Linked DNA regions of Schizosaccharomyces pombe. Changing the gene in region 1 together with any one later gene gives a genetic interaction. Each region holds a gene or a part of one and is shown on either strand. Other genes may lie near its edges.

The links.
Region 2: mutations in shm1 (region 1) and php5 together harm fitness more than expected from each alone (negative genetic interaction), as found in Schizosaccharomyces pombe (one large-scale study listed by BioGRID).

Annotation. Positions count from the first base shown.
Region 1 is NC_003424.3:3,068,499-3,073,769, forward strand, and holds shm1 (serine hydroxymethyltransferase), read right to left. Parts: upstream 2,602-5,271; 5' UTR 2,520-2,601; coding exon 1,116-2,519; 3' UTR 824-1,115; downstream 1-823. Other genes in the region: sgd1 (ribosome small subunit biogenesis protein), read left to right, coding at 1-236, 284-556; mrp10 (mitochondrial 37S ribosomal protein mS37), read right to left, coding at 3,187-3,252, 3,306-3,506; ubiquitin-specific cysteine protease, OTU family, Otu1, read left to right, coding at 4,680-5,271.
Region 2 is NC_003423.3:3,392,565-3,398,549, reverse strand, and holds php5 (CCAAT-binding factor complex histone fold subunit Php5), read left to right. Parts: upstream 1-2,043; 5' UTR 2,044-2,849; coding exon 2,850-3,194; exon of another isoform or gene 3,195-3,239; coding exon 3,240-3,269; exon of another isoform or gene 3,270-3,327; coding exon 3,328-4,200; 3' UTR 4,201-4,646; downstream 4,647-5,985. Other genes in the region: mitochondrial [2Fe-2S] cluster assembly NADPH-ferredoxin reductase Arh1, read right to left, coding at 1-633, 716-922; lys9 (saccharopine dehydrogenase), read left to right, coding at 5,381-5,985. UniProt on the Schizosaccharomyces pombe protein: Component of the CCAAT-bound heteromer, php5 is essential for DNA-binding activity. It is essential for transcription activation of cyc1. It is the linchpin that binds to the subunit association domains (SAD) of php2 and php3 to bring these proteins together.

The sequences.
Region 1 (5,271 bases):
GCGTTGGTAATGAGAAATTGTATAACCCGTTTTATGGTTTGGTAGCGTTAAAATGTTGTACATTGCAGCACAATTTGAAAAAGTCATTTCAATTCTCTCTTTGGGATTTCTTTAATGAACTACAACCAGATGATGATAGTGAAGAAAGAGAAATATCCATGAGACGCATAGTTAACTTGGCGAAGCTTTATGCGTCTTTAGTCATTGAAGCTGCACAGCCCTTAACTATCCTCAAAGTACGTATATTCTAAAAATTTGATTGTAATTACTAACTCAATTTTAGCATGTGGATTTTATGGCCATTAATGCCCAAATGCAAACGTTTTTACTGGTCTTTTTTACCGATATAATTTTGGGAGTTAAAGACGATTTACAACTCGTAAAAATATTTGAAAACTGCAAAGCAGAGAAAAACCTTTCATCGAAAGTGGATTGGTTCTTAAAAACTTATGTTCGGAAAAATCCTTTAGTGGATAATTCTAAAAAAGCTCTGTTCAAGTCTAATCTTGCGATGGCTAGCGCCATTTTACAGAGCATTTCCAAAGAAGAAATTTGAGTTTTCATCATTTTCTTATGTACATATATAGTATATCGTATACTATACTATTCATAAAAACTTAGGGTTACGGTTATAAATAAAAAGGTTTTGGTTTGAAAACTGACACATATATACACCTTCAGTAAGTTGGTTATCATTATTAAGCTTATTTATGCTTGACATTGTCTAAACATAAACTATAATATTGCAACATTGAACATATACTATAAAGAATTCATGATTTACCTGCATACTTACTTTGACTTAACCAATTAAACAACTATTATAAGGAAACCGGATGCAAAATGATATTATGAAAATTGGCATTTTGGCCAAAAATTAGAGTTGAAGCTAAAACATAAACAATAAAGAGAATTAAATAAAATTAGTAATGGTTTCTGTTGAGAGACACACACATGGGTATAGACATATTTCTAGACACTATTACTCATGTAACCAAATCAATTTTGCAAAGAAACGAAGAAAGGGCAAAGCTTACTTACTGAGTCAGATACTAATTATTATTGACGATTTTGCCCTTTTGAAAAAGAACAGAAGGAGACGAACTTTAATAAAATTACCACTTATCAGCAAGAGGGAAGCTAGAAGCCCACTCAGCGACTTCTTTTTGAAGTTGAACAAGCTCGGGGTATTGTTCACCTTCACCAAGTTTAGCCTTGAAGTCTTTGAGCTTGTTGGCGTCCTTGGGAAGCTCCTTTTGTAAGTTGGCGGCAAAAGTAAGAGCACGGTCAATGTAGTCAACAACACGAACAAAGTCTTGTTCCTTGAATCCACGAGTAGTCATGGCAGGGGTTCCGACACGAATACCAGAGGGAGAGAAAGCAGATTTGTCAGAAGGTACAGTATTCTTGTTGGTAACAATGTTGATCAATTCCAACACGCGCTCAGCACGAGCACCGTCAACACCCTTGCTCTTGACATCAACCAAAACCATGTGACTGTCAGTACCGTCAGCAGCAAGTTTGTAACCACGCTTTTTGAATTCCTCTTCGCAGACCTTAGCATTTTTAACAACTTGAGCTTGATACTCCTTGTAAGCGGGCTCTTGGCATTGCTTCAATGCAACAGCCAAAGCAGTGATGGTGTGGTTGTGGGGACCACCTTGATGGCCAGGGAAAACGGAGAAGTTGATCTTATCCTCCAAGTCATAGTAAATGGGGTTACCCTTCTTGTCATGCTTACGAAGACCACGACGGAAGAAGATCATAGCACCACGAGGTCCACGTAGAGACTTGTGAGTGGTGGTAGTAACAACATCAGCATATTCAAAGGGGGAAGGGATAACACCAGCTGAGACAAGACCAGAAATATGAGCCATGTCAACGACCAAGTATGCGTTAACGCTGTCAGCAATTTGTCGCATACGAGCGTAGTCAATGAGACGGCAATAAGCAGAAGTACCAGCAACAAGGATCTTGGGACGGAATAACTGAGCGTCGTGCTCCAACATGTCATAGTCAATCAAACCGGTGTTAGGATCAACACGGTAGGGCATAGACTCAAAGTAAGTAGAAACAGCACTAATCTTCTTGGTATCAGTTTGATAACCGTGAGAAAGATGGCCACCTGAAGGCAAGTCAAGACCCATTAAACGACCGTGAGGAGGCATAATGGCTTGATAAACTTGCATGTTAGCGGGGGAACCGGAAAGACATTGAACGTTGACACCCCATTTAGCAGGATCAAGATTGAAGGCAGCAAGTGCACGCTCTTGGCAAAGAGTTTCAATTTGATCGATAAACTTGTTACCACCATAGTAACGAGCACCAGGATAACCCTCTGAATACTTGTTGCTCATGACACTTCCAAGAGCATCCATAACAGCACGAGAGGTGAAGTTCTCAGAGGCGATAAGAACAACAGAAGAACGTTGACGATCAGCTTCGTGTCTCATAATTTCGGCAACAGTGGGATCCTGTTCCTTAAGAGGAGTCAACATAATACTGTCGTTGGAAGACATCTTGAAATATTGTAAATATGCTTCTTGTTCTTATTCAAAGAAAACCACACGACAACGCCTGTAAAGACAAGAGTGATACACTAAGGATAGATTTTTTTTGCCAACTTCTGGTAATGGTAAAAAAAGTGACTGCTCTTTAGGATACATGCTAGCAAGTCTGAGAAAACAAGATAAGGAATATCTAAGCGAAATGTCTCCCTAATACTATTTAACGAATATTGTTAACAATTGATAAATGCGCAGGTAAGTAAAAACATCAAAATGAGCATTCCTCATTTATTTTTTTGATCCATAGAAGAGTTATAACATTAGGTGCTTTTAGCTAATAGGCTATGACAACTTAGGTAGATTTTAGATTAAAGATATATGGGAGAAGGCATGTAAATTTCTGTTATTTAAAATATTTTCAAAAGCATCAAAAATGATTTTAAGGAAAGATTTCGTAAATAAAAATATAAAGCAGTCATCAGCTAGTAAATAGATGGGCAATTATTAAATGCTTTAGATTCTTAGAATCGCGTAGAGGAGATATGATATGCGGTTTCTTGTTTTTCGTTATGATGAACTTTGACTAACATTCACAAACTATTGGCATTAAACTACCTTATGGAAACCAATGTTAAAAATAACGATCTTCAAAAAACGGAAGAGAGGTTAAAACAACAAGCTATAAAAGTTTTCCGAGCCTAGCCAGATGGTAATTTATTGTATTTTCGGATTTTGTTTTACGATGCTAAAAAAAAACTGTCAGTAGAAAGTGCATAAATATTTATAACCGTTACATACCGTTGTCTTCATGCAATTTTCGAGGGCTGCAACTAAATTCGCGCATTGTGCTGTATCTGTTTGACCACCATGATTTTGCCAGCATCCTAGTAATGCTGCCATCTCTTGGCCACATGGTATGGTATTTTTTTCTCTTTTCGGTCGGACTCTAAGTCTACTTAAGCCTTGCAATCTGGGAGGGTTTACAATTTTCTTCGACATGATCAACAAGGGTTGTGCCTTGAGTGACACGACTAAATTAAGTCTTTAAGGGAGAACAAAATAATTTTAGGTAAAGGTATTAATCTTTAAAGGAAACTTTAAAAAAAAGAGGACTCAAAAGTGACTTTTCAAGGTACCTTACCTTCTCAAACAATACTACACGAGATGGTGAAGTTGTCATCTGCATTTTTAGTGCGCAAGCCCGCTATAAACTGGTTTAGTGAGTTTAGGAAGATATTCTTTCACCGTCTACAACCATGCTAAAAGTTATCAGCCAAAAAGTGGTAGGAGGTTTATAGATTTTTATTAGAAAGTAGTTTTAATTATGCGTTTCAACTAACATTACAAATCTAACTTGAATTAGAAGGAAACCTCAAGAATCTAGATAAAAATGCTCTATCATTATAATAACGAACTCCCAGCAACTCATATTTACATTCTGCTTTCTACGATACTACACTACACTATGCTATGCTATATTACTTGCGTATCACAATGTGTCGTACGATAGAATACTAGTTAATACCTGCTCTTTAAAGTTTATGAATAACTATTCTTCTATTCATATATATATAACTTCTAATAAATAATATTAAAAAACTAAATATAGTGTGACCACTGAACCTCGTTCCTCAGTTCAGCTAAGCTATTTCAGTAGTATGTAACATATAAAATCCATATAAGATAATACCTATAGCAGCGCTTGCTGCACCACCTGTATACGTTTATATTATATAGTAAAGAAAATTCCACTGCAAGTTTACGTATCGATAAAATAGATAACAAACTGCGTAGCTAATATTTAAAAAACTGCATTAAGCATCGTTCTTTGAATGTTCAATGCTTTACATTCAAGACGTTTGTTGGTATATTCTTTTGCTGATTCATTATAATTTTCTTTCAAATTTAGAAATAAAGTTATTGTACCTAAGTTAAAAATTCCAGAGTTTTCTAGAAAAAAGAAGAAAACAAGAAACTGGTTACTCAATTTCCCTTATTAGGGAAAATCGGTTGTTTAGTGAAGCTTTTGTTTGGTGTGCTATTGTCAGTTTCATTTACATAGTAGGATTTGGTAATTTTTTGAGAACGCTCTCTTTAAGTGTACTCCTGTTTCTCCCGTTTACGGCTGATTGCTTTTTTGCAACGTTCCGGGTTTGTTAAAATTATCTGACTATGTCTTCACTACGTCTTCGTTTAAAATACGAAAATCAGTCTGCTGTAGAGACAGTTGAAGCAAATGCGACTGTTGGATCCTTTTTAGACTTAGTGGCAGCGAAATTCTCGTTGCCTAGAAACTCGATTGCTTTAAAATTCGGATTTCCTCCTCAAGATATTCCTTTAGTTAATTCAGACGTTCCTTTATCGACGTTGGTTTCTTCAGGACAGCAAATCCTCGTTCTCAAAAATGCCGCTACCTCATTTTCAACGAATGAACCAGCAAAACCTCCAATTCCTAATGCAGCCACAAAACCTACATTCCCACCGCAAACAGAGATCTCCAATCCCCCAGCTGTGTCGCACCAGTCCAAAAACACAAGTCAAGATCCTCCGTACGTCAGTACCCCAATTGGTGATATTGCGCTCCGCGTGATGCCAGACGATAACTCTTGTTTGTTTCGTGCATTGTCAAAGCCTCTTGGATTCTCTCCGTACGAGCTTCGTGAAATTGTAGCTAATCAAGTTCTCTCTAATCCTGACATTTACTCTACTGCCATTTTAGGGAAGCCGTCCATCGAGTATGCTTCATGGATTCGGAAGGAAACTA
Region 2 (5,985 bases), on another chromosome or scaffold:
TGAATAAGGGGCTACTCGTTTCTCTGAAACAGCTTTCTGGATTTCGGAAACTAATAGCTTTAACAATCTCTTTCTAGGTCTATCCAAACCGCTTGCATCTGTTTCATTCATCCACTTTGTAGAATAATTAAAGGAAGGAGCAAAGAAAACTGCACTTGATAGGGCAAACAGTTCTCTCAATTCTTTGATAGTAAACGAGACAGAAAATATGTTTCTTCTTCCTACAATGTGTAATCTTTTTAAATTGCTTCTTTCAAGTGATTTGAGGAACAATGGATTAATGTCAGTTGGGGATAATTGAGCAGGATTACTTAAAAGGATTCGAGCTACATCAAGTGAAACATTACCATGTCCAATAACTACTGCATCCTCTACCTGACTTAAATCCAACTCAAGATTTTGATTTCTGGGATCACTGTTATACCAACCCACCACTTCTCGCGCACTATAAACACCTGACAAGTCCTCCCCTGGAATTCCCAGTCTCTTGTCCCCAGCAGCTCCATAGGCAAGGACCAAACAATCATAATTTTTAGTCAAATCCCGTAAAGAAACATCAGTCCCAACGTTTACGTTACCAAGGAAGCGAAATTGTGTAGACTCAGCAATTTCGGAAAACTTGTGTTCTACATGCTACAATAGAGGTTAGCTGTATAATAAATTTAATAAGATCCATTTTTAAACCAATCAATATTTCTTGGCTTAACAGACTTACCTTAACTTCTGGATGATCTGGGGCAACTCCATAACGTACAAGCCCAAATGGAACTGGGCGGGATTCAAACATATCTATTTTGACATTTGGGTCATTTCGTAAGAGTCTGTGGGCTGTGTAAAAAGCAGCCGGCCCAGAACCGATGATGCCGACTACAGGTGAAGAAGTTTGAGTGCTATATGTTCTTTTAATGAATCGTGATAGCATCCTTTCTTAGCCTTAAGATGAAAGAAAAACAAAAAATGATTGAAATGAAGAAGTGAAGGATATCTTCGTGATTGTAAATCTGATATAAAACTAGCAGCAATTATCATTAACAACTGGACTCTCCTCAAAACGAAAAGAAAAGCTACCAATGCTTAATAAAACTGATTCATTAGTTTTAAAGCTTTAAATGTTTAATCTCAATAAACTGTTTGGTGACACCTATACAACTAGTGAATTTTATAGCATTGGATGAGTGGTCAGGTTCAAGCAGCCAAGCCTTTTGAGAGCAAAGCATTTATATGATAAGATCAGTCAGTATTTAGAAAAAGGAAATTTCTTATTAAATCAAAGGTAATTACAAACAGGAAAGTTGAATCAAACGCTACAACAGAACTTTTGCTGATCGTTGCTTACGATATTACCAGCAACAAACATCTCATATAGTAAAGTGCAAACCTTCAAATAAGTGTTTTATGTTGTTATTATGAGTGACTTAAGCAGCTTCAAACTGATTTCTGCAATGATTTTTTTATGATATTTCAAATAACTAGTTAGATGATTGTGGCTCAAATGGTTAATTTGAAAACGATATATTTAAATTTCTTAAAAATAATTAATCTCTGCTTATTCAATCATACTTATTTATAAAGATGCTAAACCTAGCTACTTGAAAGTGTTTTCTAATTCCTACTATTATAATGATAAAACAAAAAATAAGAATTTATTACATTCAAAATAATTCTATTTATAAAGGTCAATTACTCTTTCACGTTTAAAGAACTGTTGTAAGACCAACAAATTGTAACGCGGTAAGCTTTATCTTTGCGAGGACTTTAAAAAGGCGTAAGATTCAATTAACAAGGATGTATTTTAATGTAATTCCTGGATTGAAGTCAATTACTATACGTATTTTCTATTCTGTTTGCTTTAATTACTGAATAATATTTGCACATGCTATTGTTTATAGTATTATATCTACTACCGCGAAAACATTAATTATGTATATCAAATAATGAATATTTACGTGTCGTTAAAGTGTTTTAGCAATTGTAGAAACAAAGTATGTGGTACTATAAACCGGTTCCATCAATAAGTTGTGTGACAGCCAACCATCTTCTGCCAGCCACCAATAAATTCAATCGTACCGATTTTCGCTATATTGAGTGTTTTTGCACTCTATATACTTAATTAAGCCAGGTGTAATACGCTACATAGATAATTCAAGACACTTCGACGAGTTAAGGTGCTTTACTAGTGTTCTTTATTGAAGTTCTTTGTTTTAAGAAGTTAATGTGTTAGAGATACGTTAGTAACTGCACTTGTTGCTTTGTCTTACTCATTCTACGAGTTTTTCGTGAATTAAGACGATTGGTATTTATCTTTTTAGATATTGCAACTAAGCCTCGTGTTTAGCCGTTCGTGTTCCTTTCGATTGTAAAACTTTTTATTTTTTTCTTTCCGTTCCACTCTTCAACTTGACGTCAATTTGTTTTACTTCCCTGTTTCGTCTCCTGCTCACCTCTCATATAAGTTTAATTCCCCATTTTACCGGAGACTACTCCGCTCCCTTTCTATTTTATTTCTACTTATCTTGGTTACGATTTTGTTAAGCTGTACATCAAGGTATTGGAAGTTTTCTTTAATCCGCATCTTTATCGCCTCTTAATATTTAGATTTTCGATTTGAAATTCTTTAGCTTAAATTATTGTCAGTTTCTTTAACAGCTTTGTTTTTAGGAAACTGGTATTTGTTAGATCCCGGCATAGTTACAATTTTTGTCATTGTCGTTTTTTTAAACCTGTCACCAGTGAGATTGCATTGATCTCTTATCTAATTGGCAAAGGCCTTTACGTTTCCAGTTTTCTTTTTAAACTAAATTGCCTTTCTGTAGACTTTTTTTCGTTTTTCAATTAAGATTCATTGCAAAATGAATTCTATTCCTGATTCCTATTCCTTGAAACAAGGCTTTCCCGAAGGTTTAGGAGAATATGTTGATCCCTCTGGCAATCCTAATTCTCAGGTACGGATAGGTTATGGTCAAGATTCTGTTTCTCGCTTCCAACAACCAGTCCCCGATGTTGATCCAACTGCTGTCAATCACTACAACGCTAGTGCACCCATTGAGGTTGCTAGTCCATTTGATAATGTTACTCAAGGTCTTGTTGGCAGTGATGCACAAGCCCTTGCTGAATATTGGCAAAAAACCATCGATACATTGGAACATGACGATCAAGCTGTAAAAACTCTGCATCTTCCCTTAGCTCGTATTAAGGTATGCCACTTTTTCTGAATTAATTACTAACTATTGATTATGCAGAAAGTTATGAAAACTGACGATGATGTGAAGGTACGTTACTTTGAGTATTCGAATACTTTTTGACATTAACTTTTACTAATTTTTTTAGAATAAAATGATCTCGGCAGAAGCTCCTTTTCTGTTCGCTAAAGGAAGTGAGATATTTATTGCAGAGCTTACTATGAGGGCTTGGCTTCATGCCAAAAAAAATCAACGAAGGACACTACAAAGATCCGATATTGCAAATGCAGTATCAAAATCTGAAATGTATGATTTCTTAATTGATATTATATCTAAAGATAACAATAATTCCCGCGCATCTTCCAGTCAAGCTCATATGTCTGCTACTCAAGTTGCTGCTATGGGTGGTATGAATGGTTTACAACCTTTCCCCACTCAAGCTGGCTTACCCAATCAAGGGTTTCCAATGCCAACTGGTAGTCAACTTCCATTTTCAAATCAACAGTCAAGTCAGCCTTCAATGCAGTATTCCTCTCATCCATCCAGAATGCAGCAAATGCAAGATATTGATCAATCTATGTATAAACAGCAGCGTCTGGGCTCTGAATATCCACAACTACAAATGTCAGATAACTCCGGAAATGTTAACCAGATGAATATGCAAAGACCGGTCATGGTAGCACCGTACATGGCTGAGCATTTATACCGTTATCCACCTACGCATCTCGAATCTGGATCCTCAGCTTTCCGATTGCAGTCATCCCCTATGGGATATCAAATGCCCCAATTTCAAGGTAATATGCGACCTAATATGCAACAGTCTCAAATGTTTGATCCTTCTGCATATGGTATGTCAAGAAGACCTGGATCTCCTCGGCAATTCGATCAGCAACAGAGACTTTATTCACAGCCAAACGCTATGATGTATCAAACTCAGCAAGGGCGTCAGGGAAACCCAATGCATCAGCAGTTTTCCCAGCAACAAAACCCTCTTTCTCGCTATTCGCAACAACCCCAGTAATATCTTTTAATACCTGTTGATTTAGAACATGCAATTTAAATAATTTCTATTAAATTATTTGGGAGGATCCAACAGTGATGCATTTTTAGGTGGAACTTTCAATTTGTCAATTTTCGGTTTATCTACAAAAGCTTAAAGAAACAGTTGATTTTCATGACATGCTATGTCTAGTCATTGTTACTTTTTTTAAGCTATGTGTGGTTTTATTTTTTTAGCAAGACCGAAAAAGAAATGACGGAAGCTTTTCATATTTGCTGCCTCTTTATTTTCCCATTGCGGGACTGCTAGTGTAGAGTATTTTGTTTTACTTAAACATATATATGCATTTGAAATTCATTGTCGATAACATTCTACCTATTATGGATATTTACGGGTTGTCAATGTAAATAAATGATGGCATGTTGCAATCGGTTACCAAGAAGCAATTAGCTTTAAACAACGTTTAGGTTTACTTTATAATTAAATTTATTCGTATATGTACTTGAAAATTTGCACTTTTGATGATTTTTTAATTTAAAATCTCATAAATTTTAACTTCTATGTAAAAAGGTATTTAGGCTCATTATGCAAGGAAATTACAGCTGCTTTCATTCCCGACTGCATAAAAAACCACCATTCCACGGCCACCATACTCGAGGTAAAAATGAGTACGGCGGTGCGAGGCAGTTTAATTTACTCCTTCACCAGAACTACGCAGTTGATTATGAACAACAGATAGGCAGAAAGAGGAGAAACAAATTATTCTTATACTAAAGCTTAGAATTCTTTAATCTACCCCCAAACAACAACGAATGGCATCTACTAGCTTTTAAGCAACTTCTGTTCTGCAGAAAAAAACTACGTAAAAAAAGTTGCTAAAACTATCAGTTGCGACATCGCTGCTAACAAATTATCGACTAAACTTGTCGATAATAACGAATTCCCCTAGTAAGCCAAACATAACATTGAGAGGAAACGTAACGATTAAATATTAATTCAAAAAATGGTCCATGTGACTGCTTTTTTAACCGATTCGAGATAATCAGTTTTCATCAATTTAGACGACGATTTCGGCCATCAGAAATAAATCTGTGGATAAAAAGGAACCCCTTATATATCGCTAAAACCGTGACGACAAAACAGAAGTCTTTGGTTTACCACTTGTCCTTAACTGACTGCCTCTTTCATTTTCAACATCAAAATGCCTTCCATCTTATTACTTGGTTCGGGATTTGTCGCTCATCCTACTTTAGAATATTTATCTCGTCGTAAAGAAAATAATATAACCGTAGCATGCAGAACTCTTTCTAAGGCTGAAGCATTTATTAATGGTATCCCAAACAGCAAAGCCATTGCTTTGGATGTCAATGATGAAGCAGCTCTTGAGAAAGCTGTTTCCGAACATGATCTTACCATCAGCTTGATTCCTTACACTTATCATGCAACAGTTATGAAAGCTGCCATTAAGCATGGTAAACACGTTTGTACCACCAGTTATGTGAATCCCAAAATGGCTGAGTTGGAGGAAGCTGCCATCAAGGCTGGTTCTATTTGTATGAACGAAATCGGCGTCGATCCCGGTATTGATCATTTATATGCTATCAAGACCATTGAAGAGGTTCATAAAGCTGGCGGTAAGATTAAGTCTTTCTTGTCTTATTGTGGAGGTCTTCCCGCTCCCGAGGACTCCAACAATCCTTTAGGATACAAGTTTTCTTGGTCTTCTCGTGGTGTTTTGTTGGCTCTTCGCAACTCTGCCAAGTTTTATGAAAACGGCAAACTTGTTGAAATTGACGGCAAGGATTT